3 linked regions of the Tamandua tetradactyla genome follow. The main gene of each other region encodes a partner of the protein of the gene in region 3 in a complex. Links are inferred from orthologs where the notes say so. Each region holds a gene or a part of one and is shown on either strand. Other genes may lie near its edges.

Region 1 (7,863 bases), on a different chromosome or scaffold from region 3:
TGTGACCTTTGCTACATCTTATGAACTTCTCCCATTATTATTCTACCATCTATACTTCCTATAAGAGAGAAGCCATCAACCAATAATTTCATTCACTAGTCCCATGAGGAAATCGAGACGTCCAATATTACTACTGATATAGCAGTTAAATACTACATGGTTTTAATCAATCCTTCTAGGAGAGGCACTAATAAGGAATTTTATTTGCTTTTCTATTTTTAAAATTCAAATGTAAGTCCTGCCATTTCTGATAATGCCATACTCACCTTGATTAGCAGGATACTGTTTATGACCATATGAATCTGCTGTAGTTTGTGGGCCCTTATCTTTAAAATTTTCTTTTGAAGTAGGCATATGCAACACAGGACCATATTCATTACGAAGTTTGATTGCCATTTTTCGTTTGTGACTATTTAAAAAGTATAAACATAAGAGTGTATTTTAAATAGTTTAAATATATTCACAAATGCAAATTTTATGACTAGCTTGGAGACAAGTACTTAAATAACTTTTTTGTCCAACTACATAAAAAAAATTCCATTAAGATTTAAAACTCACTTCAAAATGTCCAAGTGCGTTTCCACACTGTATATTTACTTTTGCTTATAATTCAACACATAGCATCCATTAAGTCTAAGCAATATTTAAGCTTGTTAACTATTAAATACAAAATAGAAAATCTTTCATGATGAGTTGCCAAGAGTCCAACCGATTTAAAGATATAGAGATAAATGTCCTTTAAAAACATTCAAGTCAATGTATGTTCCTTCAAATGTCTGAATATTAAAATACAGTAAAAGCGTCTGTAGCAAACTTTACTGAATTTATATTTAAAAGATAGAACTAAAGTATTTAATTAGCTTAATTTAAAAAAAAAGCACTTCCATTCTTTTTAAGCATAGATTAAATATAAAAGCTTGTTTGAGGAATTAGGTAGATTTTATAAAAGAAAGTAAAGGACAAAGAAGGAACACTGCAATATGTAATCTCAGACTGGAATCAGAGATGTAAAATCAAAAATATGACCTCACTCAAAAATCTTCATCACACTAACAAGAAAGGATGTGAACAGAGGTACTGGCCAGGTACAATACAATTTAAGCTCAGCAAGGCTCTGAGAGCAGCAGGAAGCTGAAAGCACATATAAAATGACTGATTATAAAATAAAACACCTGAAAGGGACTTTCATAATTACTGGATATTCATAAAATGCAATTAATTAATGGGAGTTTTACTATAAAGGATAAGGCCAAAAAAAATTTAAATTAGCTTAACTTATACCAAAAACAACACTCATTACTGAATAGTTTTCCCATAAGTGTGAGAATTACTAACCAACCTTCAAAGATTAAATAGTTCCCCTTTCTTCTCTTTTTCCCCTCACTATTTGAAGTTTAAATATTCTTAACAATTGGCGAAGAACTATACCTACCTTTCTTCATCCAAAGGCACAGGTTTTCCATTATCTGCTACAAACATATCATGGGTCCTCTTCAATGACCTAAATACAAGTGTGTGCACAGAATGTTTCTGCACCTCCTAGAAAGAAAGAAGGGGTAATTATACATCCAGCCGCAAATTACACATATCATAACCCAATTAAAAATCATATTAGTAATGCACTTAAGCTTTGTACCACTCACCACAGTTATCTCTAGTAAGCTACAGGAGGCAAGTTCAAAGAAGAGGAACATCCTCTTTGGCCAGAGCCCCAGCATATACCAACTGAATGATATCTGAGATTAATCTGGCATACAGGTATGTGTATGGCAGGTATTGTACTAGAATCTAACCACAGAACGATGAGCAGGCAGTCATAGTCAAGGTGGTCCAAGGAGAAACAAAAATAAACAAAATAACTCCCCATTTTGTTAAGCACCATGAAGGAAACAAGCAAAGGGCTTAGCAAGAGAAGGGAGGAAATAAAAAATACTTAATGTAGGATGGTTAGAAAAGAACGCTTTGAGGAGATATTCAAGCAGAGAGAGAAGGGAGTTTGCCTTGCAAAGAGTTCAGGTAAGAGTAGTCCAGGCAAAGAGTAACTCTACATACAAAATATTCAGTAACTGAAAAAATGCCAGAAACTGCAGTAGAGCTGTGTATGCAGGATAGGAGGGTGGGTTGCGGTGCAAGATGAGGTTGCAAGGGTAGGCAAGGAAAGGTTCAGATCGGGTACGGTCCTTTAGAACACTGCGGAAGTCTAGATTTTTGTTCTACTTGGAACATAAGGCCAGTCAAGTTCTCCAATTTATAGTTTAAACAGATCAATGTACAGGGTAATAAAAATGGAAGCAAGCAGTCAAGCTGAGAGCTAATGCACTAGTCCAAGCAAAAGACGCTATTAGTCTGTGATGGCAGGGGAAATGGAGAACGATGGGCAGAGTCAACAAATGTTTCTGAAGTAAGACGAATAAGACCTGCTAATAGAATGACTACTCAACGTAGGGAAAGACGCAAGAATTCAAGAACAGCAGGCTTCCGTGGGGGAAGAGCTGGGATAAAAGACGAATTGAACGCAAGAAAGAAGATCGTCGGTCTTCCACCGCCCAGAATCACTGATACTACACCTGAGGCGGCAAGCCCCAGCGGTCAAACATCAACAGAAGCCCTGCCCCCGAGGACAAGTCCCATCTCACCAGGGCCAAGCGGACTTGGAGAGATTTTTTCAGGCTTCCCGCCCGCCGGAACTTCAAACTCGTGTTCTTTCCCGGCCTCACTCCCTCTCCGAGAACCTTAAGAGACCACCGGGCCTCGGCCAAACAGCTTCCACTTGCCACAAGACTCCCAGCATCCTTGAACCCCCGAGCCTACCGTCAAAGAAAAGCAATCCAGAATCAAACTGCTCCCGTCTATTTTGGTGTCACTTTACCTCGACCATGCTGCAGCCGCGGCTCCCAACCCTCGGGCAGCAAAGGAGCACCAAACCCGAACGCCGAAACCACCGCCACCACTGAACAGCGGCTTCCGTAGTCGGGCGCCTTGACGCCGGAAGTGACGTGGCCCACGCGCCCGCAATAAGTTCTCCCGCGGGCCTTCGGGGGCACAAGGGGCGGACCTTCCTCCTTGGGGCCGCCTCTAGGGGCGGAGTCTCGGGGCTGATGGGCGGGAGCTTCTCCAGCGTCTGACCGCAGGTTCTCTCCCCCTTTGAAGAAATCTTGAAATGAGGATATTTTCTAATTTACGCTCAGTCTTAAATGTTTTGCTTTGGGGCCGTGGTTGTTTGCTCTGTATTTCCTAGCAACGGATGACGTTTTATTCACAAAATGGGAGAAGTCACTTTAGGGAGGGTCTGGAGAGCGAGCCCTCCGGGCGAAGACACCGTCCTTGGGGGTCGCCTCTGCGCTTTCTGTCGCCGAGAGCCACCACCTGGCTGAAAGCAGAAGTCGTCGCTGTAGCTCTCGTCCCTTAAACAATTACATTAAGTCCATTAAAACTTTTATTGAGGGAGTGCTGCTGAATGCTTGTTTCTGTCTGATAAATTTTGGCCTGGATGGTATGGAAAGGAATTTTATTAACAGCTGTGGTAAAACCCCACATTTCTTTACTGCTACATGATTTTTAAAAAATCTCTCCAAAATTATATAACGGCGTTTTTCTACTTGCCTGGTAATTAATGCAACTTCGAGAAACCAAGCACAGCTTCCCAGAGCTGGTGGAAGAAAGAGCTGGAGACTTTAGCCATTTTTATCCATGGAAATCCTGGCGCCACGATACTGTTATTTTGTTTTTTATCCAGGTAAAACCTGCGCTTTACAATTAATCCTGCCCAATTATTTTGGTATCTAAAAAGAAAAATTGACAGAGCTGAGCATTTGCAAACTCAGACAAACACTTCACTGAGTCTGCTTCTTTCTTAACGTAATCAGTTATCCTGGTCCTGTCATCAGAGCATACTGCATATGCTTTGAGAAGAAAAAGAATCTATCAACAGCCTAGCAATATGACTAACTTTATTTCAAAATTCATTAATTTTTAATTCAGTGAGAGCATTAAGATTAGGTTTTTACTTGAAAAACCTTACTTAAGTGTAAGTTTAGATTAAAACGTATTTTTTGTAAAAATAGCAATTGATGATGGGTCTTGCAAGGAAATGCCATAATTATAAACTATATACTTGGGAAGTGAAATCTTATTATACATAGTAATAACTATACAAAATAACATGATTTTAAATGGCAATACAACCATAGAAATGTAAGCAAGGGTAATATATATGACAACGTCTGGTTGGGACCATTAACTTGTTAGATCTTTAATCATCCTGGAAATGTTTAATTTATAACCCCAAACTCATATAAACATTGCAGTGATTGAGGTAAATTGCACTAGAATATACTCATTTAACAGAGTTAATTCATGAATTACCTGAAATTGTATGCAAATTCTGTGTTTATGTAAGAGCCTGAGTTTTTCTGGTGAGGGGATCTGTAGATGTCATAGAATTCATGAAGGGATTCAGGATCCACAAAAGGTGAAAGATCCCTGCCCCTGCTGAAAACCAGAGCTGCCTTATTTGAGCAGTAGGTGGCACTACTGCGCTTCAAAAAGGCTCAGAGACGTTCCTTAGGGCAGAGATTAGTGAATATTAATGTAAATACAAATATTAAGTCTGAGTGAGACTGATAGTGCAAATTTTAAGGAAAGCCTAGCTAATTTTTTTTTATATGTTTTGTGCATGTGTTTTCTTTTCTACTAATTGGTTGTTTACTTACCAGGACTGAAGGTCTCTTCATTCTCCTTCAAGTGCTTGTCTTTTGCTCTTAAGCAGGGCTAGAAGGTCACTTCCATGTAGATATGAGTACCATATTCTTCCGCTTTTTGTTTGTCTGTTTGGTTTGCACTGGGAATCAATTCTTCAGCTTTTAATCAGATTTTTTTATGGGACGTTTCTTAATGTTAAACATAAAAATGATGAATATTACTATTTCTTCTTCCTGTTTTTCTCAGCTTAGAAAGCTAAATGTATAACGTTTTCTAGATACTACTCATTTTATATACAATATTCTTTTGAGTTGTTTTGGTTAATGTATCCTTCTGCCTTTGAACTACAGATTTGACATCATTTATTAATTCGAACGAGAAGAATGGGGGGCACCGTCATTTCCTATTTGAACTCCTAAGGTCAGAACCTGTGAAAATTAATACAAGGATGTTTCCTCCAGGAGTGTGGTCTTTAATTGTTTATCACAATGCTAAGAATGCGTCCAAAGCTGAGGTAGTGTTAGCAAGTGCATTCTGACAGCACAGGGTGGAGCAAAGCTTCTGGAGAGTGTGAAGCAGTTAGGGAGCTGTTGTTTCAATTAATGCCTAGGGAGACCTGGGGAATAGTTAGAATGCACTGTCAGTTATAAACATTTAAGCAGGGTGGTGTGTGTGAGAGAGACACAGAGACAGACAGACAAAGTACTGCTTATCACAATTCTACCTTCCTCTATTTTATGACGTCCCATCCCCCTTCACAAGCACAAGTGTCTGGACATGATTGTGACTCTCAAAGTTTTATCTTTATTTGTAGTTTCTAATTTGTAGAAATATTTTCAGTGTTTATAGAAGAAATAACAATGTGACATTTACAGTTTTCTTCACTCACTTCATATACTAACCGGTTTGATGGTAATATTTGTTTAATTTAGCCTTATCCCAGTCGATTTAGGATGAGTTTGGTATGAGGTTCACTATCGCATACTCACCATCTACTTGATTTGTCACTGGTAGGTTTCCAACATTTGTTAAAGGAATGAGCAAGCTATTAAGTTTTAGACGCCCAATTTTGGGGTGGGAGGCATTGAGAACTTAATTTAGATGTGAATTTTTTTTTGGTATACTGTACGGTGGGGTCACATTTCATTGTTTTTCCATGTGGGAATCCTTATTGCAGCATAATTTGTTGAATTTTTTGTTTATTTGTTTGCTTGTTTGCTTATTTTGCTTGCTAGTTTGGTTTACTGGGGAAGTGCATGGATTAGGATTCGAAACTGGGTCTCCCACATGGCAGGCAAGAATTCTACCACTGAACTACCCTTGCACACCCTTCAGATGTTAATTTGAGGCTATTAAATTTGTATGTGTGTGTTACATGCCCAACAGTTGTGTCTTTCTGATTATTGTAAATTTTATTAAAATGAATTGTTTTCTATTACATTTAATAAGTTAATGCTAAATTTTATTTAGTTTATATAAAACTAAATTCTGCTACTGTTACTAAATAGTAATTTCTTTGTAAAAATATATAATTTGCAATGGATTTAGTTAAAATAAATGCTTCTTGACACCAATAACTAAGAAGATTAGAGCATTTTGATTTAATATTTTGCTATTATAATTTAGGTATTTTTAGACTTTCTTTTAAAAGTATGCTACCAAAAACCAGCACCATGTTTTATAGGACAGTAGAAACATTCTCATTAGCCAACTACAAAATAAGGATGCCCAGTGCACTGGGACTAGTGTTTCCCCAAATTCATATCTACCAGAACCTCAGAATGTGACCTAATTTAGAAACAGGGTCTTTGCAGATGGAATTAGTTAAGATGAGGGCATAGTGAATTAGGGTGAATTAGACCCTAGATCTAATGATTGGGGTCCTTATAAGAAGACCATGTGAAGACACAGGGACATAGAGAAGAATGCTCTGTGAAAACAGAGGCATAGTTTGGAATGAAGCAGTTACAAGCCAAGAAATGCCAACGATGACTGGAGACTGCCAGGATCTAGGGCGAGGGAGAGAAAGAATATGGCCCGGCCAACATTTTGAATTCATATTTCTAGCTTCCAGTACAGTGAGAGGATAAATTTCTGTTGTTTTAAGCCACAAAATTTTTGATGCAGCAATAAGTAAAAAAAATCTGCAAGACATGGTGTTCTAGTTTGCTAGCTGCCAGAATGCAATATACCAGAAACAGAATGGCTTTTAAAAAGGGGAATTTAATAAGTTGCTAGTTTACAGTTCTAAGGTTGAGAAAATCCAATTAAAACAAATCTATAGAAATGTCCAAGCAAAGGCATCCAGGGAAAGATACCTTGGTTCAAGAAGGCCGATGAAGTTCAGGGTTTCTCTCTCAAGTGAGAAGGCACATGGCAAACACAGTCATGGATTCTCTCGGCTGTAAGGGCACATGGTGAACACAGCGTCATCTGCTAGCTTTCTCTCCAGTTCCCCAGGAGGCATTTTCATTCATCTCCGAAACTTGCTGGCTGGTGGATTCTCTGCTTATTGGTACTGTGGTGTTCTCTGCTCCCTCTGAATCTCTCTCAAATTCTCCAAAATGTTTCCTCTTTTGGATTCCAGTAAACTAATCAAGACCCACCCAAATGGGTGGGGACCCATCTCCACCTAATCCAGTTTAACAACCACTCTTGATTGAGTCACATCTCCAGGGAGATGATCTAATTACAGATTCAAAACAGTACTGAATTGGGATTAGAAGAAATGGCTGCCTTTACAAAATGGGATTGGGATTATAACATGGCTTTTCTAAGGTACATATATCCTTTCAAACCAGCACACATGGCTAAAAAATATTTTTAAAATATTTAAGAGACATAGAAAAGACTTGAATCAACAGAAATGTATGTCTTATTTTGGATAGTAAGATAAAAAATTATAAATATATCTGATATGCCATTAATCTATAAATAATTTTAATTCCAATGAAAATAACATTACATTGGTATGCCAAACTCTACCAGCTCAAATGCCTGGAAACTTTTGGAAAAGGTTGGGGAAAGGGGAATATCTATCTTTACCGGATGTTTAAAGTATATATTTAAACTATGGCAATCAAAAATTTTTTTTGAACAGTGGAACAGATGGAATCTATAGACTCAAACATATTTGACAACTGAGTATGAGACATGTCAGAT
Region 2 (7,400 bases), on a different chromosome or scaffold from region 3:
AGACAATCAAACTTTAAGAAAGATCCTCTTTCACTGGCATAAAAAAATACATACTATACCTAAGGCTAAAGCTACCAAAAATGCGCAAGACTTTTAGGAAGATATACATTTTTAAAAGGCAACTAAAGAAAACCTAATTAAATGGAAAGATATAACCTGTTAATGCATGTGAAGACTCAATATAATATAGATGTTAATTCTCCTTAAATTGATTTATAGATTCAATCAAAATTCCAAAATTATTTTTGTGGAACTTGACAATCTGACTCTAAATTTCATATTGAAGTACAAAGGGTCAAGTAAGAAAGTGGGCCAAGACTTGCTCTACCAGATTCCAAGATTCCTCCATCATACCATACACAAAAATGAATTCCTGGTGGAATTGTGAAATACATAACCATAAAAGCTTTAGAAGATGATATCTGAAAAGATCATTATTATCTCTAAGTAGGAAAGAATTTCTTAATCAAGAAATGCCATACACTAAGCAAAAAGGAAATGACTGGCTAAACTGAACTATCTTAAAAGAAAAGATTTTTGTATATCAAAATATACTAAAAAGAGACCAGGAAGCTGGAGAATATATATGCAGTACAAATATCTGATAGAGAACTGGTATCCAGAGTATTAAGAACGTGCAGAAGTTGATAAGAAAAAGATAGCCAATCCAACAAAAAATACTTGAACAGATAACAAAAGATGAAATCCAAATGGTCAACAAACCTATGAAACAGTTATTAATAATGAAGGAAATACAAAGTAAGACCTTAGTGATATATCACTATATACCTACCAGATGAGCTAAAATTTAAAATTGGACAACACCAAGTGTGTTGAGATTGTGGAACAAGAACTCTTATCCTGCTGATAGGAATGTTAGGATATATAAATCTTAGAGAAAAGCACACACTTGCACCTCAGCACATTTATAAGAATGTTCATAGCAGCATTATTTGTAAGTCTCATACAGCAAACATAATTCTCAGAATGATTAAATTATAGGGTGTATTTTTACACAATAAAATTCTATATCGTATACTAAAATTATACATAATACACATTAAGTGGAAGGAAAATGCAAAATGAAATAATACATATGTAATATTGGTGAGACTAAACAATATTGTTTAGAAATATACATATAGTATTTATCAAAATTTATTTTGGGGCTTAATATTTAATCACTTTTTGTAAAGGTTCAATGTTTACTGAAAAGCATATGTATTCTTCTATTTGCTACAGGATTTATGTGCATTCATTATATAAATATAATATGCATACATAGATCAGTGTTAATTTGTCTGCTTGATCTATCGATATGAGAAATTTAAGTTTTAAAAATTCCTATCATGACTGCGGATTTATCCATCTTTCCTTTTAATTCTTTATTTTTACTTCATGCTTTTCCAGGCTATATATGGTTAGTTGTACAAATGCACATGATTATCATATTTTCCTAGTGGATTTTTCTTTGTAATGCAATTTATGTCCCTCTTTGCCCATATTAATGCTACTTAATTTTAATACTTTGAAGAATATGGCTATAAAATATTTTGTTAGAATTTGCCTGATGTGTCTTTTTTATCCCTTTATTTTCTATGCACTACTTGTTTAGTTTTGTGTATTTTTAGTGTTTTGCTTTTAAATTGCCTTAGTAATAATAAACTGGACAGCTAGGCAGGTAGCCATGCGATTAGATTAGGTATCTAGTAACCTAGCCTGGACCATCAACAAGTGGCATTTAATTTTTTCTTTGTTTTTGTTTTCTTGTTGTTGCATTTAATTTGGAGGCTATTTCCAGGAAATCATTTTTCTGAGCTCTCGAGGGTCTCATGTAAAATCAGGATTTGGTTGGTAGAGGCTTTATTTTTTCTACTCTCACTTGTTAAAATGGATTAAAAGATTAACTTTACAAATGGGAAAACAGGTATTTTGGGGGTTAAAAATTTAAAGTCACTGCCATTATTTATATCATTTGGAAACAGGCATTATGAAATAAACATCTCTCAAAGTTAAAGAACTTTTTTTTAAGGCTTTCGAAAAAATTAAATGCTTGTGGCTGTTGGTTTTTTCTGTTCATTTTCCTATTAAAAGGCTCAAAGAAACATTTTTCAAGTAAAAACACACTTTATGGGCTGGTAGCTTTGTAAATGAGGGGGGTTACTAGAATTGGGAAAGATGATTCGATTGGAAGAGATGGAGAGATGGTGCATTGAGTCTGTGATTAGATCAGGGGATTAATTCAATTAGAATTCTGATAGTATATATAAAGCCTGATCATAACCACAGATTTTTTTTATATATAAACAGCCTCTCCTAAAAGCAAATCATCTTTCTGAGTCTCGGTGTATCTTCATTCAAAATCAGGATTTCAGACTAGCAGAAAGTAAGTTACTTTTCTCCCCCTTCAAAATATAAAACAGACAAAAGCAATAGCTTTTTACATTAGAGTGTGTTTTTTTCTTGTTAAAACTCATTTTTTCATTCATTCATTCATTTGGAAGATGTTTATTTCGTTGTGTTTTTTGCCTGTTGGTGCCAGGTGTTGTTTTTGGTGCTTGGCTCACATCACTGAACAAAACAAAGATCCTTGCGCTTGTAGAATCTATATTCTGCATGGAAAACATAGATGAAGGATAGTAAAGGTAACATATAATTAGCCTATACAGGATAATGGAAGATGATACATGTTATGTAAAAAGAAAAAAGTAGAGCAAAAGAGGTTAAGGGAGATATGGAGTGTAGGGTATTAAGAAAGAAAGGGGGAGGAAAGTTGCAGTTTTAAATAGGGCTGTCAAGTAGTCCTCATCTGAGCAAAGACTTAAATAAGGAGGGCAAGATTGTCTGTTCTGGGTGGAAGAAACAGATAGTGCAGGGGTCCTAAGGCAGGAGTGCTGGGTGTGCTCAAGCAATACCAGGTAGCGATGTAGCCAAGAGGGGCATGTGCAAGAGATGAGGTTTAAAAAAAAAAAAAGGAGGGAAGGGACTGGAACAGGAGAGCTTTGTAGGCCATCAGGTGGACTTCGGCTATGTTGTGTGGGAAACCGGGAGTCAATGAATCCCACCTGTCTGACTGGATGCCTTTTTATTCTCATCCCATCCAGATGTATTAACTTATTTTTTTTTAACTGTTGCCAAACTGATGCTGTGAAGTGAAAATTCATTGTTAGTTCAGTGTAAAATCATGGTGGCTTGGACTAGGGCGGTGGCCATGGATTGAAAAGTGATGGCCAAATTTAGGGCATATTTTGAAAGAATTAGCACGATTTACAGATGAACTGGATGTGAAGGATGAAGAAAAGGGAACTCAAGAATGAGCCCTGGCATTTTGGTTTGATGGTAGTGTCATTTAATGAAATGTTTAAGAGTGGAGGAGGAAAACTTTCTATAAAGAAAATCAAGATTTTCATCTTGGACTTAAGCGGAAGGGACTTTTCCACTGTTGTTTTCCCGTTTCAAAGTTACAAAGAAAGAGTTTAGGGAAACCGCTTTTAAATGTTTAGTTTTGTGAAATTTTTTACATCTGAAAATGAGTTGGGGAGATTAGTTTCACTTACTCAACAAATATTTATTGAGTGCCTACTATGTGCAAGGACTATGTGATGACCTATCAAGATGAACTCAGCAAACAAGATCTCTACTGAGTGCTTTTTTTTTTTTTTTGCGACGGGAGAGGGGAGATATCTGATTTTTTTTCCTGTTGATTGTCTTATTAAAACTTCATCTAACGCTTGAGTAGCCATCTTATTTATAATTGCATCTTGTGCTCTGGCAGTTGGGCCCACCGTTCTAAACGCTCAATGTCCGGTGAATAAACGAATGAATCGTTAATACTGACATCTTCCCTCCCACTAGAACTCACACTTAAAAATAATAATTTTAACAAACAATACTAATACAACCTTTGCTTTGAAGTCTAATATTTTTGCAGGAATGGTACCTTTATAAAGATCGTGGTTGCCCCCGTACATATTTGTTCTTTCTTCATATCCAATTAAATGAAAACACTAGCTTTTCCGTAGCCCAACTCTCTAGGCTTGTTGGGTCTAGTTCAGGAGAAAGGAAGCAGGAGCCGGTGGATTTAAACAATTTGGTGTAATCCTTTTCCACGCTCTCTCCCGCTAGTCGGGGACGTGGTGTCGGCTACCCGGGGCTTTCCGTCCACGCAGTACCGGAATGAAGGAGTCTGGGAGGGGGTCGGGGAAGGAAAAGACGGAAGAGACATTAAGTAATTGGTTCTTGAAGGTATAAAATGATATTTAGGGTCTACTCTAAAGCTCTGATTTCAAACGCCCGCCCCCTGAGCCGTTTCGGCCCCGCCCCTTGCTGTCGTCACTCCGACTTCCACCTTGGCCTCTGCGGATTGGTCTTTGTCTCAGCCTCCAAGGGGCGGCTAAAGCGCTTGGGTTTTGCTTCCGGGTCTTGGGCTTCGGCCTTGGGCGCAGAGGTTTTTGGGAACTAGGAGTCGTGATGGTGTCTGAGTGAGCTCCGGGTGTTCCTGCTTCAGATCTCCGCCAAAGTGAGCGGCAGGTGGGTAGCAGATTCTCTTTCTCATCTGGGAGGTGGGGCGAGAAAAGAAGGTTAGTCGGGCGCTGGAGAAGCGTCAGCGAGTTCCTGGAAATAGCCGAGAGCGGGCTCCCGGGGGGACGGAGTGATAAAGAATCCGGGGGAGTTGTGGGAGGCAGCGGCGCCCCCGGCGGCAGAAAACCCTGTTTTTCCCTCTGGAGACACGCCTTTCCCTTTGGAAAAATATAGAGAAGTATACCAGAAATAAAAGATCCGTCCAGTTCTCCCATCCTTCCACATTGTGGCTTTTCCGAGGGCTAAGGGCGTTTAGTGTCACGTCTGCTAGGCAATATTTTAACCAACTACTTAAAGCTGAGAGTAACATAAGGAACAGGCCTCCGATTTTTGGTTATCGGAATCCTGTGAGGTGAGGCTCTTGTGTTTGAGAATTTGTTTAATTCTAACCTACAAAAAAATCTGATTTATAGGGTGATGGCTGTTGTAATAGAATAACTGAATCAATAAGATTGCTGGAGAATTTTTCCTATGTACCTGTCATTTGAAGTTTAACGAGCTTTTCTCCAGCTTAACTTTTCTCTAGGATACTTAATGACTTTGTCAGTGATATTTTAAAGTATCATTTTGTTTCTGTGGCTACTAGCCTATTTGCTGTTGTGCAAGTTTTAGATAAAATGGAAACCTTAGGGAGTCTAGTTGAGTTGAGGTTTTTTAAGTCATTCATGGCAGTACTGTAATTTGCAAGAGTTTTGACATGGTGAATCTCATAATTGCAATAACTCTACAGATGGCAGAAACAAACTAGGTGACTTGGCCCAGGCCACACAGGGGGAAGAACTGGAATATAAACACAGGTCTTCACTACAAAATTTTGTGTTTAGTAACAGCTTCCTAAGAAGCTGCATTCCTTGTATACCTTTAACGTCATAATTTGTTATCCTGAGAACTTTGAGAAAACTATGTTTTGAAAATTATTTCACAAGGTTGACTATTGATTAAAACTTTATTAAATCAGTTTATCATATTGGAAATAACTTTGATACTATTTTTCTTCAAAGCATAAAAGATGACAACAGCAGCCAGGCCAACTTTTGAACCTGCAAGAGGTGGAAGAGGAAAAGGAGAAGGTGATTTGAGTCAGCTCTCAAAGCAGTATTCCAGCAGAGATTTACCCTCTCATACAAAGATAAAATACAGGTAATAAAGATACTCATTTTTTCTTGTTTACAGAATAAGACCAAGTGCATTTAATTGCATGGTCCTGAGACAGTAGCATGTTTGGGTTGTGTCATTTGAATTGTCTACTTTCATAGAAATAGAATATAATAGAGTATGTTTAACACTGAAATTATACTTTCTGATTGCAAACTTTCACAAACTTTCCATTAAACAGAAATTCCTATTAACTGGGAATTTCCATATGTAAGTGAAACAAAAACTGATACCTGATTACCTCAAAGAGACCATGCATCATCATGATTACCTCAGAGAGACCATACATCATCAATGCTGATCAATATGAGATTTAAAGTGTTACTATAAATAACTCTGAATTGATCTAATACTAAGAAAAAAATTCATCACAATGCAGCCTTACACAAATGAAATCAAAAGGAAAGATAGACGATAAAGATGGTATAACCTAGGAATGCCTAGAGTGTATAATGATAGTGACTAAATGTAGAAATTTTAAAATGTTTTTGCATGAGATAAAACGAGTCAATACTGCAGGGTGTTGAAAATAGACGGCAATTCATATTTTAAAACTTCAACTTCTGTGTGAAACTAAAGCAAAAAAATGTTTAATTGGCACAAAATTTATATTTTGACTTGTGCATTTCCTAATATAATTTATGTAGACAGTTTAATTGAACGCTGTAAGTACATGGAGCCTTGAGTAGGACATGAGATTTTGTAGGTTTGTCCAGAGTGATGCCCCTATTAAAAAAAAAAATTGCAGCCTTATTATGGGAAAGTATGTGATTTAGTTTGGGCTTCTTGAAATATAACCATCACACGAGTGCCTGTTAGTAAACTTCCGTTAGGTTAATGATCTTTTCTAGTTCCCTCTTATTCTTGAGAGACTGGAGACAAATGGGTTTTTTTGTGAATTGTTTCCATTTGCTACAGCCATATGTTTGTTTACAAATATTTTTGCCCTGCTTTGTTTCTACTTTAGACAAACTACACAGGATGCCCCTGAAGAGGTTCGTAACCGTGACTTCAGGAGAGAGTTGGAAGAGAGAGAGAGAGCTGCTGCAAGAGAGAAAAATAGGGATCGCCCAACCCGAGGTACCAGCACTATCCCAGATGTTTGTCTCATAAAATTATATGTTAGAGATAGTTTTTCCTTTCATCAGATAACTGGAAGGTACATACATATATATATATATATATATATTAGATATATATTGGTGTAAGCTGTAACACTTTTTTAAATGATTAGACATGATATCTGAGAGTCATTCCAATTCCATCTTTTTATGCTTCTGTATGAGAATGAACATGATTGATCCAGAGATACTCAGTAATCATCATGTCTGTTCAGATCAAGGGGTGTAAGACTGTTTACACCAGCCGTGTGTTGTGAGGTTCCGTTGGTTCTGACTAAGGCTTTCCCATTTGTCACTGACAATTGGCGGTCCTCTAGAGGCATCAGATATAATATCTTTTCCAGTGTATGTAGACTGTTCCTAAATTTCCTGAGAGGGACCACCAGTTACTGCTGCGTAATCAGTAAGATCCCAGTTGTCATGATGATTAAAATCTAAGTTGTATGTGCCCACAATTCTCTAAAATGTTATAGGAAGTATAGTCTTTGTTTCAGTAAGCTCAATGATGATTGTTTTTCCGCAGAACATACAACCTCCTCCTCA
Region 3 (5,975 bases):
CACCTCCCCATCCCCCTCTCATCTTCCAATATTTGCTTATGTCTATAGTTTATCTGGTCCCCCACCCCCTAACCCCAATATCTCAATCCCACCAGTATGACGGAAGCCCCAAGAGCCTGGGGAAAATGCGACATAGACCTCAACACATATTTGGTGAACGTGGAGTGAAGAACGAACTTGTATGGCAGCTTGTCAGTCCTGAAAGCATAGCCACAAAGTCCCACGAGAATGAGGGGTGGCGCTGGACAGCGAGCAGAGAGGGCAACCACAGCAAAGACTTTCAACAGGGGAGGGAAATGCCTTAAGGCATTGTGGGCCTGATCAGAAGGAAAAAAAGGCTTGGGAAAATTCGGGATGGGGGAATATGGTAAAGCTGGGGCCGGAAGGATTTAAGCGTCAGGCAGGGAAGGCTGGCCCCGCGACGCCGGCCGTCTCCTGTTGGGACGCCCAAAGAAACGTCAGCCCCCAAGCCTTCCCAGGACCGCTCCGCTCGAACACAAGGATTCCACACCAAGAAACAGAACAATTTCTAAACTTTATGGTGAAAAGCAAGACGACAATCGACCAGTCACAAAACGAACTTCCAAATCGCAGCCGCCTTGCATCACGCTGGCCGGCTCTAGGCTCTCCCCACGGCCCCAGTGCTCAGGGGTCCCGCCGGCCCCGGAGCGGTGCTCCGAAGGGTCCCCAGGACGGCGGGGCGTGAGGGACGTCCCCGGAAGGCGCCAGTGCGCAAGGGGGGCGTGCGCGGCGGCCCCGGAGGCGGCGGCCCGGCGGGGCTCAGTTCTCCTCGGGCTTGTCGGCCGGCGGCCCGCACGGCTGCAGCATCTTCTCCATCAAGTTGAAGCGGACTCGCGCCTTGCTCTCGTTCTCGGCGATGGCGAAGTAGTTGAGCAGGTCGAAGTGGCCCATGTAGGAGCAGTACGAGTCCCGGTGCTGGTTCACCAGCCACTCCCACTTGGTGGTGTCGGCGTGGCCCGTGCCGATGTACTTGGACTGCAGGTGCTCCAGCTGGCTGTGGATGGTGTAGCGGTCCGTCATGTCGCCGTCTTCCCTCTGCTCCGGGCCAGGGACTGCGGACGAGCAGCAGCGGCCGCTCCGAAGCTTCGCGCCGGGTGGAAGTCGGCTGGGAGCTCGTCGGCGCGCACAGTCGCAAGGCGATGGCGTCACGGCGCCGCCGCCGCCGCGTGGCCTGCCGGCCACAGGTCTCCGAGGCGGAAGCGGAAGCGTGTTCCGGCACCAAATTGGGGTTGCCTAGGCCACGAAGCCACCGCCCCGCCCCTCTCGGGACAGCCCCGCCCCCCGTCGCGTGGCATGATGGGCTTCGTGGCGGCCTGAGGGTGCCTGCATCCGGGGACTCGCGAGCGCCGCGGGCCTGCGCGCGCAGACGCCTGGGGAAGGCCGGGCCCGGGTCGCCTCGGAACCTTAATGGCGGGCGGTGCCTGCCGGGCGGGGAGCCACCTCGTGGGCCGGGGCCGTGGGCCCGGGGAACGGGAGGCGCAAGACGAGGGGCCACAGGCGGCCGGGAGAGGGGCCTCGCGCTGCCGGCCTGCTCGCCGAGCCGCCGCGGCCCCTCCCCGCCACGTCGGGCCTCCTCCCCGCGCTCGCGGCCCGCCCCCGCCGCCCAGCGCGCAGCCCGCCCGGGACGCGCCGTTCCCGCGCCCGGAACGCCCTGGTCCCCTTGGCACGCGCCCCCGCCCTTAGCTCAGCGCGAAAGCATCTGGAAGCCCGCCCTGCCCGCTCCAGACAGCTGCGGCGGCCCCGGCCTCCTCGCGCGAGCGGCTCCTCCTTCCCGCCGCTTCGCCGCCCGGTGTGGGTTTGGGGAAGTTCCCCGGTCGGGCCTGCGCGCCTGCGGCCTCCGCGCGCCCCGGACCTTCGGGTCGGAGGGACAGCCGGACCGCCGCTGAAGAGGGCGGGTTGTAGAGACCTTTAGGGCATTCGTGTTCTGCCTGTTAGGCCGGTAAACATTCCGTTCCTGCGGGCAGAGATTCAAGCCCTATAAATGTCCCCCCGGGTCGCCCCTTTCTGCACGGCGGAGCCTTTGCACGGTGGGGGTCCCCCTTCACGTACCGCAGTGATAGACTTGGCTTCGCTTCGTCAGCAGATTATTGTGATGATCTTTCTGGGAAGTTGGCAGTAATAGGTTAAATCAAGCCTTACAATACCTGTGGGTTTGCAGAGTTATCAAACCTTGTCATTCCCCCCTCCCCCCGACTTTGTTTTTTCTTTGTTAGATACAAATAAACTTGCAATTCTCCGTGTTTCCCCTCCCTAGTATGCTCGCCTCACCACGCTATCGGGGACTTAGAGTTCACCATCCCTCAGCCTGTCTCGTTTGCTGAAAGTGTGTCCACGAGCAATGGGTGGTGCCGTCAGGCAGGTTTTAAGGTTTCGTGTAAGTGGCACGTTGTATGTGCTGTAAATGTTGCTTTAGTCACGCCTCAGTATCCTTTGGATACAATGTATACCTTTAGTTCATTTATACCGTTGTGCAGTATGCCCACTCTGAAGAACGGACATTATTTCCAGATTTTCGTTGTTAGAGACAAAACTGCGATGAATGTTCTCATGGAGACTCATACCTCTTGGGCCTGCACGTGAGGTTAGCCCTGCTGGGACGCAGGCGTGAGTGTTGGCAAGCTCTGCTGGATCCTGCCGAGGTGCTCTCCAGAGTGCGTCTACCGTGCGCGGAATGAGAATCCCTGTCCCTTCACATTCTTCGGACATGTGGTGTCCTGAGACTTTGGGTGGGGTGCGGGTACATGGTCGGTGAATCGAATCCAGGTCTCCTGCATGAAAGACGAGCATTCTACCACTGAACAACCCGTGCGCCCCTGAGACGTTTTAAATTTGCAAATCTGATGCGTAGAATGGAATTCGTTGTGGCTTTCATTAGCATGTCCCTGATTACAAGGAAGACTGGGCATCTCCATACATGTTTACTGTATCCACGTGGATTTCTGCTTCTGTGAACTGCATGTTCATTTCCTTTCCTTTGCCCACTTTCCTATCGGATGATGGTATTTTTCTTACTAATTATTAGGAGATCTTTAAATAACCAGAATATCAGGCTTGCAAGTTATGGGTGACGAAAGTATGTGGTCCTTTATGGTGTCCTTTTTTTTTTTTTTTTACATGGTTACGCAACAGGAATCGAACCCGGGTCCCTGGCATAGCAAGTGAGAACGCTTCCTGCTGAGCCATCGCGGCCTGCCCACTATGGTGTCTTTTTTTACAGAAAATGTAAAGAAATTTTTGTTATATAGAAGTTCTTAAATTTAGTCAGATTTATCAGTCTTCCTTTATGGTTTGGGCTTTTTGTATTTGGTTTAAACCAAATTAAGGAAAACTCTTTTCTGCACTGGGACCATTGAAATAGTCTCTATTTTCTTCTAAAAATTTTAAAATTCTGCGTTTTCATATTTAAGATGAGTCCACCTGGAGATTTGACTTATTTTAAGGATCGAATTTTTAATTTTTCCCCCTATGGGTAGCCAGTCCCTGTAATAACTAATGATTCACTAAACAGTTCACCTGTTCTCTGATCATCTTTAATGCTTCTTTTATATATGTGTGGGTTTGTGCCAGGGCATTCTGGTCCATTGGCACAGGTGGAGGGTCTTGCTATTTTGTAAGATAAGGCAATAAAAGATATTTTGTATCAGGTAATAAAATAGGGGCCAAGCCCTCACAGTTTTCTTCTTTCATAAATGTCTTGGTTAGTCTTTTATATATATATATATAATTTTTTATTGTGAAATATAACATATATGCAAAAGCAATAAATTCCCCAGTACATTTTAACAAGTAGTTTTAGAACGAATTTCAAAGTTTGGTATGGGTTACAGTTCTACCATTTCAGGTATTTCCGTCTAGCTACTCTAAGACACTGGAGACTAAAAAATATCAGTATAATGATTTAGTAGTAATACTCATTTGTTAAATTCTAGGTTCCCTATTGCAACTCCTCCTTCTTCTTTGATCTGGCTCCCATTCTTTAGGAATATTTGGGCAATGACCATTCTAACTTCTCCATGCTGAAAAGGGATGTCGACATTATGGGTAGGGGATACAACTGGTTGATGCTGTTGGAAAGACTAATAACTCCGGGTTTCAGGGCTTATCTGGCTTGGAACCATCTGGAGGTTTCAGATTTCTGAAAAATAAACTTAGTAAGTGAAGCTTTATAGAGTCTTGGAGCCCTGGGTATTTTTTTTTTTTTTTTTTTGAGAATTAAAATTTTATTTCTTTGTAAATTTATCAACAGTGGTTTTAACAGTGCTTGTCTTCTCATCATATAACTTACGATGTGGAGCTACCCTCTTTTCTATGACATGGCAAATTGTAATTCTCCTAAGTTTAGATGAGCATGCAAAATTTTATCCTTTGCACTTTCAATGTCATGAAATGTCTTTAAGAGTTCCTTTCCTATGAAGTTTCTTGCCAGAATCACTTCCTCTGAGACATCTTTATCCTTTTAATCACAACCACTTTCTTCATTTATGTCTACAAGTCACCTTCATGAAGTTCCTCTGGTTGCACATCTAAAGTCTCTTGAGCAGCAGCAGTGTCGACATTCCCACAGTCGGCTGTACCTTCTGTAACTCCATTTCCATTCCATTTGAATCCTGTAAAAGTTTCCTACAGTACTACCCTGCACCACTGCGCAAAACAAGGATTAACTGTAACACTTGGGATCTGAGGCTGAATTTCACCACAGCATCTTTATCTGAACCCACAGCTTCGCCAGATAGCTTAATATTCATCAGTTTAGGCTGACTTCTGAAATGATGAAACCAGCCTTTTCTGACAGTAAAATGTCCTTTTCGGTCTCCTTGTAAAAAACATTTTCTTTCAATGTAGCAACTACCTTCAACGTTTTGGCCTGAATGCTAGTCAAACTGATTGGGATTTGTTTTTCACTACAGTCTTCCATCCAGAGTTGAAGTAAACCCTCCATTTCACCATGAGAGACTTGCTGTTCCTATGTGCAGTTTATGCCAGAAGATGTTAAAGTTACTTTACCTTGTTTTTCTGCATTCACTGGGTTTTTTCAATCTGGTTCATACTGTAGCTTCCTGCAGGGCTGGGTGTCTTCCTATCTTGGCTTTGCTGTCACCACTTTCAAATATTCTGATCACATACAATTTCACTTCCAGCATCATCACTTTGCATTTCTTCATTGCCCCATCATCTTTTCACCTTGACCAATTCCCTCTTTCTGTCATCCATTTTTGTAAAATGTCACTAAGCTTATCACTGGGAGACAACAAGGCTGTGCGTCTGCACACTTTGTTGCTTGTACGTGAATTGGGTAACAGATGCCCAGTGACCAAAGCAGACTGAAGAAATTATGTGATTTGTCATCGATCATGATGCACATTTGTTATTTGCGTAATGATTTATAGACAGAAGAGCACAAAGTCTTTGCGTAATGCAGCTGTTCATAGCACTGTGGTAACTGAAATTTTGACTGCATTTTTGGCAGCCTGGTGTCATCTAACTTAACTGTAGCGCCAGATGTTCACGCATATTGGAACTATGCAAAGCAAGGACTACCTTATTAAATAAATCTTCAAATTTCTGGTTAGATAAATCTCACAAACGATAGTTTTCTAAGAAAAACATCCTTCAGTTTTATTCCTCTCCAGCATATTTTAAGTAATTCACAAGACCCAGGTATCTTTTTCCAGCATCTCCAAGAATAAAATTCCTTCATAGGAATCTTTTTGACTGGAACCTTAGCCCCTCAATTCCATAGCGGTAAGTGTCTTGCCGAAAAGGTGTCATTGAATTAAGAGTCCACGTTTCTTCACGTTAGAATTTCGAACTCCTCTAAAGCCACATCCCTGAGGTCAACCCTAGGGATGGTCTCTGCGCTGGGGAGGGACCACCGGTGAGCAACGCGGGAGAGTGAGTGTTTCCAGGTTACTGTGCTTGGCTATTCTCGAGCCTCTGCTCTTCCCTAGGAGGTT

What was found. Proteins that work in one complex are often made in the same cells at the same time.
Region 1: SF3B5 (region 3) and PLRG1 share a complex: the UniProt entries of both Homo sapiens proteins name them as parts of the minor spliceosome. The link is inferred for Tamandua tetradactyla from reciprocal best matches to the Homo sapiens genes SF3B5 and PLRG1.
Region 2: SF3B5 (region 3) and CWC15 share a complex: the UniProt entries of both Homo sapiens proteins name them as parts of the minor spliceosome. The link is inferred for Tamandua tetradactyla from reciprocal best matches to the Homo sapiens genes SF3B5 and CWC15.

What each region holds. Positions count from the first base shown.
Region 1 is NC_135348.1:12,422,359-12,430,221, reverse strand, and holds the start of PLRG1 (pleiotropic regulator 1), read right to left. Parts: upstream 3,002-7,863; 5' UTR 2,879-3,001; coding exon 2,870-2,878; exon of another isoform or gene 2,812-2,869; intron 1,540-2,811; coding exon 1,433-1,539; intron 1,116-1,432; exon of another isoform or gene 1,055-1,115; intron 410-1,054; coding exon 267-409; intron 1-266. UniProt on the Homo sapiens protein: Involved in pre-mRNA splicing as component of the spliceosome. Component of the PRP19-CDC5L complex that forms an integral part of the spliceosome and is required for activating pre-mRNA splicing.
Region 2 is NC_135334.1:47,986,898-47,994,297, forward strand, and holds the start of CWC15 (spliceosome-associated protein CWC15 homolog), read left to right. Parts: upstream 1-4,399; 5' UTR 4,400-4,530; exon of another isoform or gene 4,531-4,543; intron 4,544-5,582; 5' UTR 5,583-5,590; coding exon 5,591-5,721; intron 5,722-6,703; coding exon 6,704-6,816; intron 6,817-7,380; coding exon 7,381-7,400. UniProt on the Homo sapiens protein: Involved in pre-mRNA splicing as component of the spliceosome. Component of the PRP19-CDC5L complex that forms an integral part of the spliceosome and is required for activating pre-mRNA splicing.
Region 3 is NC_135351.1:43,423,176-43,429,150, forward strand, and holds SF3B5 (splicing factor 3B subunit 5), read right to left. Parts: upstream 1,179-5,975; 5' UTR 1,042-1,178; coding exon 781-1,041; 3' UTR 517-780; downstream 1-516. UniProt on the Homo sapiens protein: Component of the 17S U2 SnRNP complex of the spliceosome, a large ribonucleoprotein complex that removes introns from transcribed pre-mRNAs.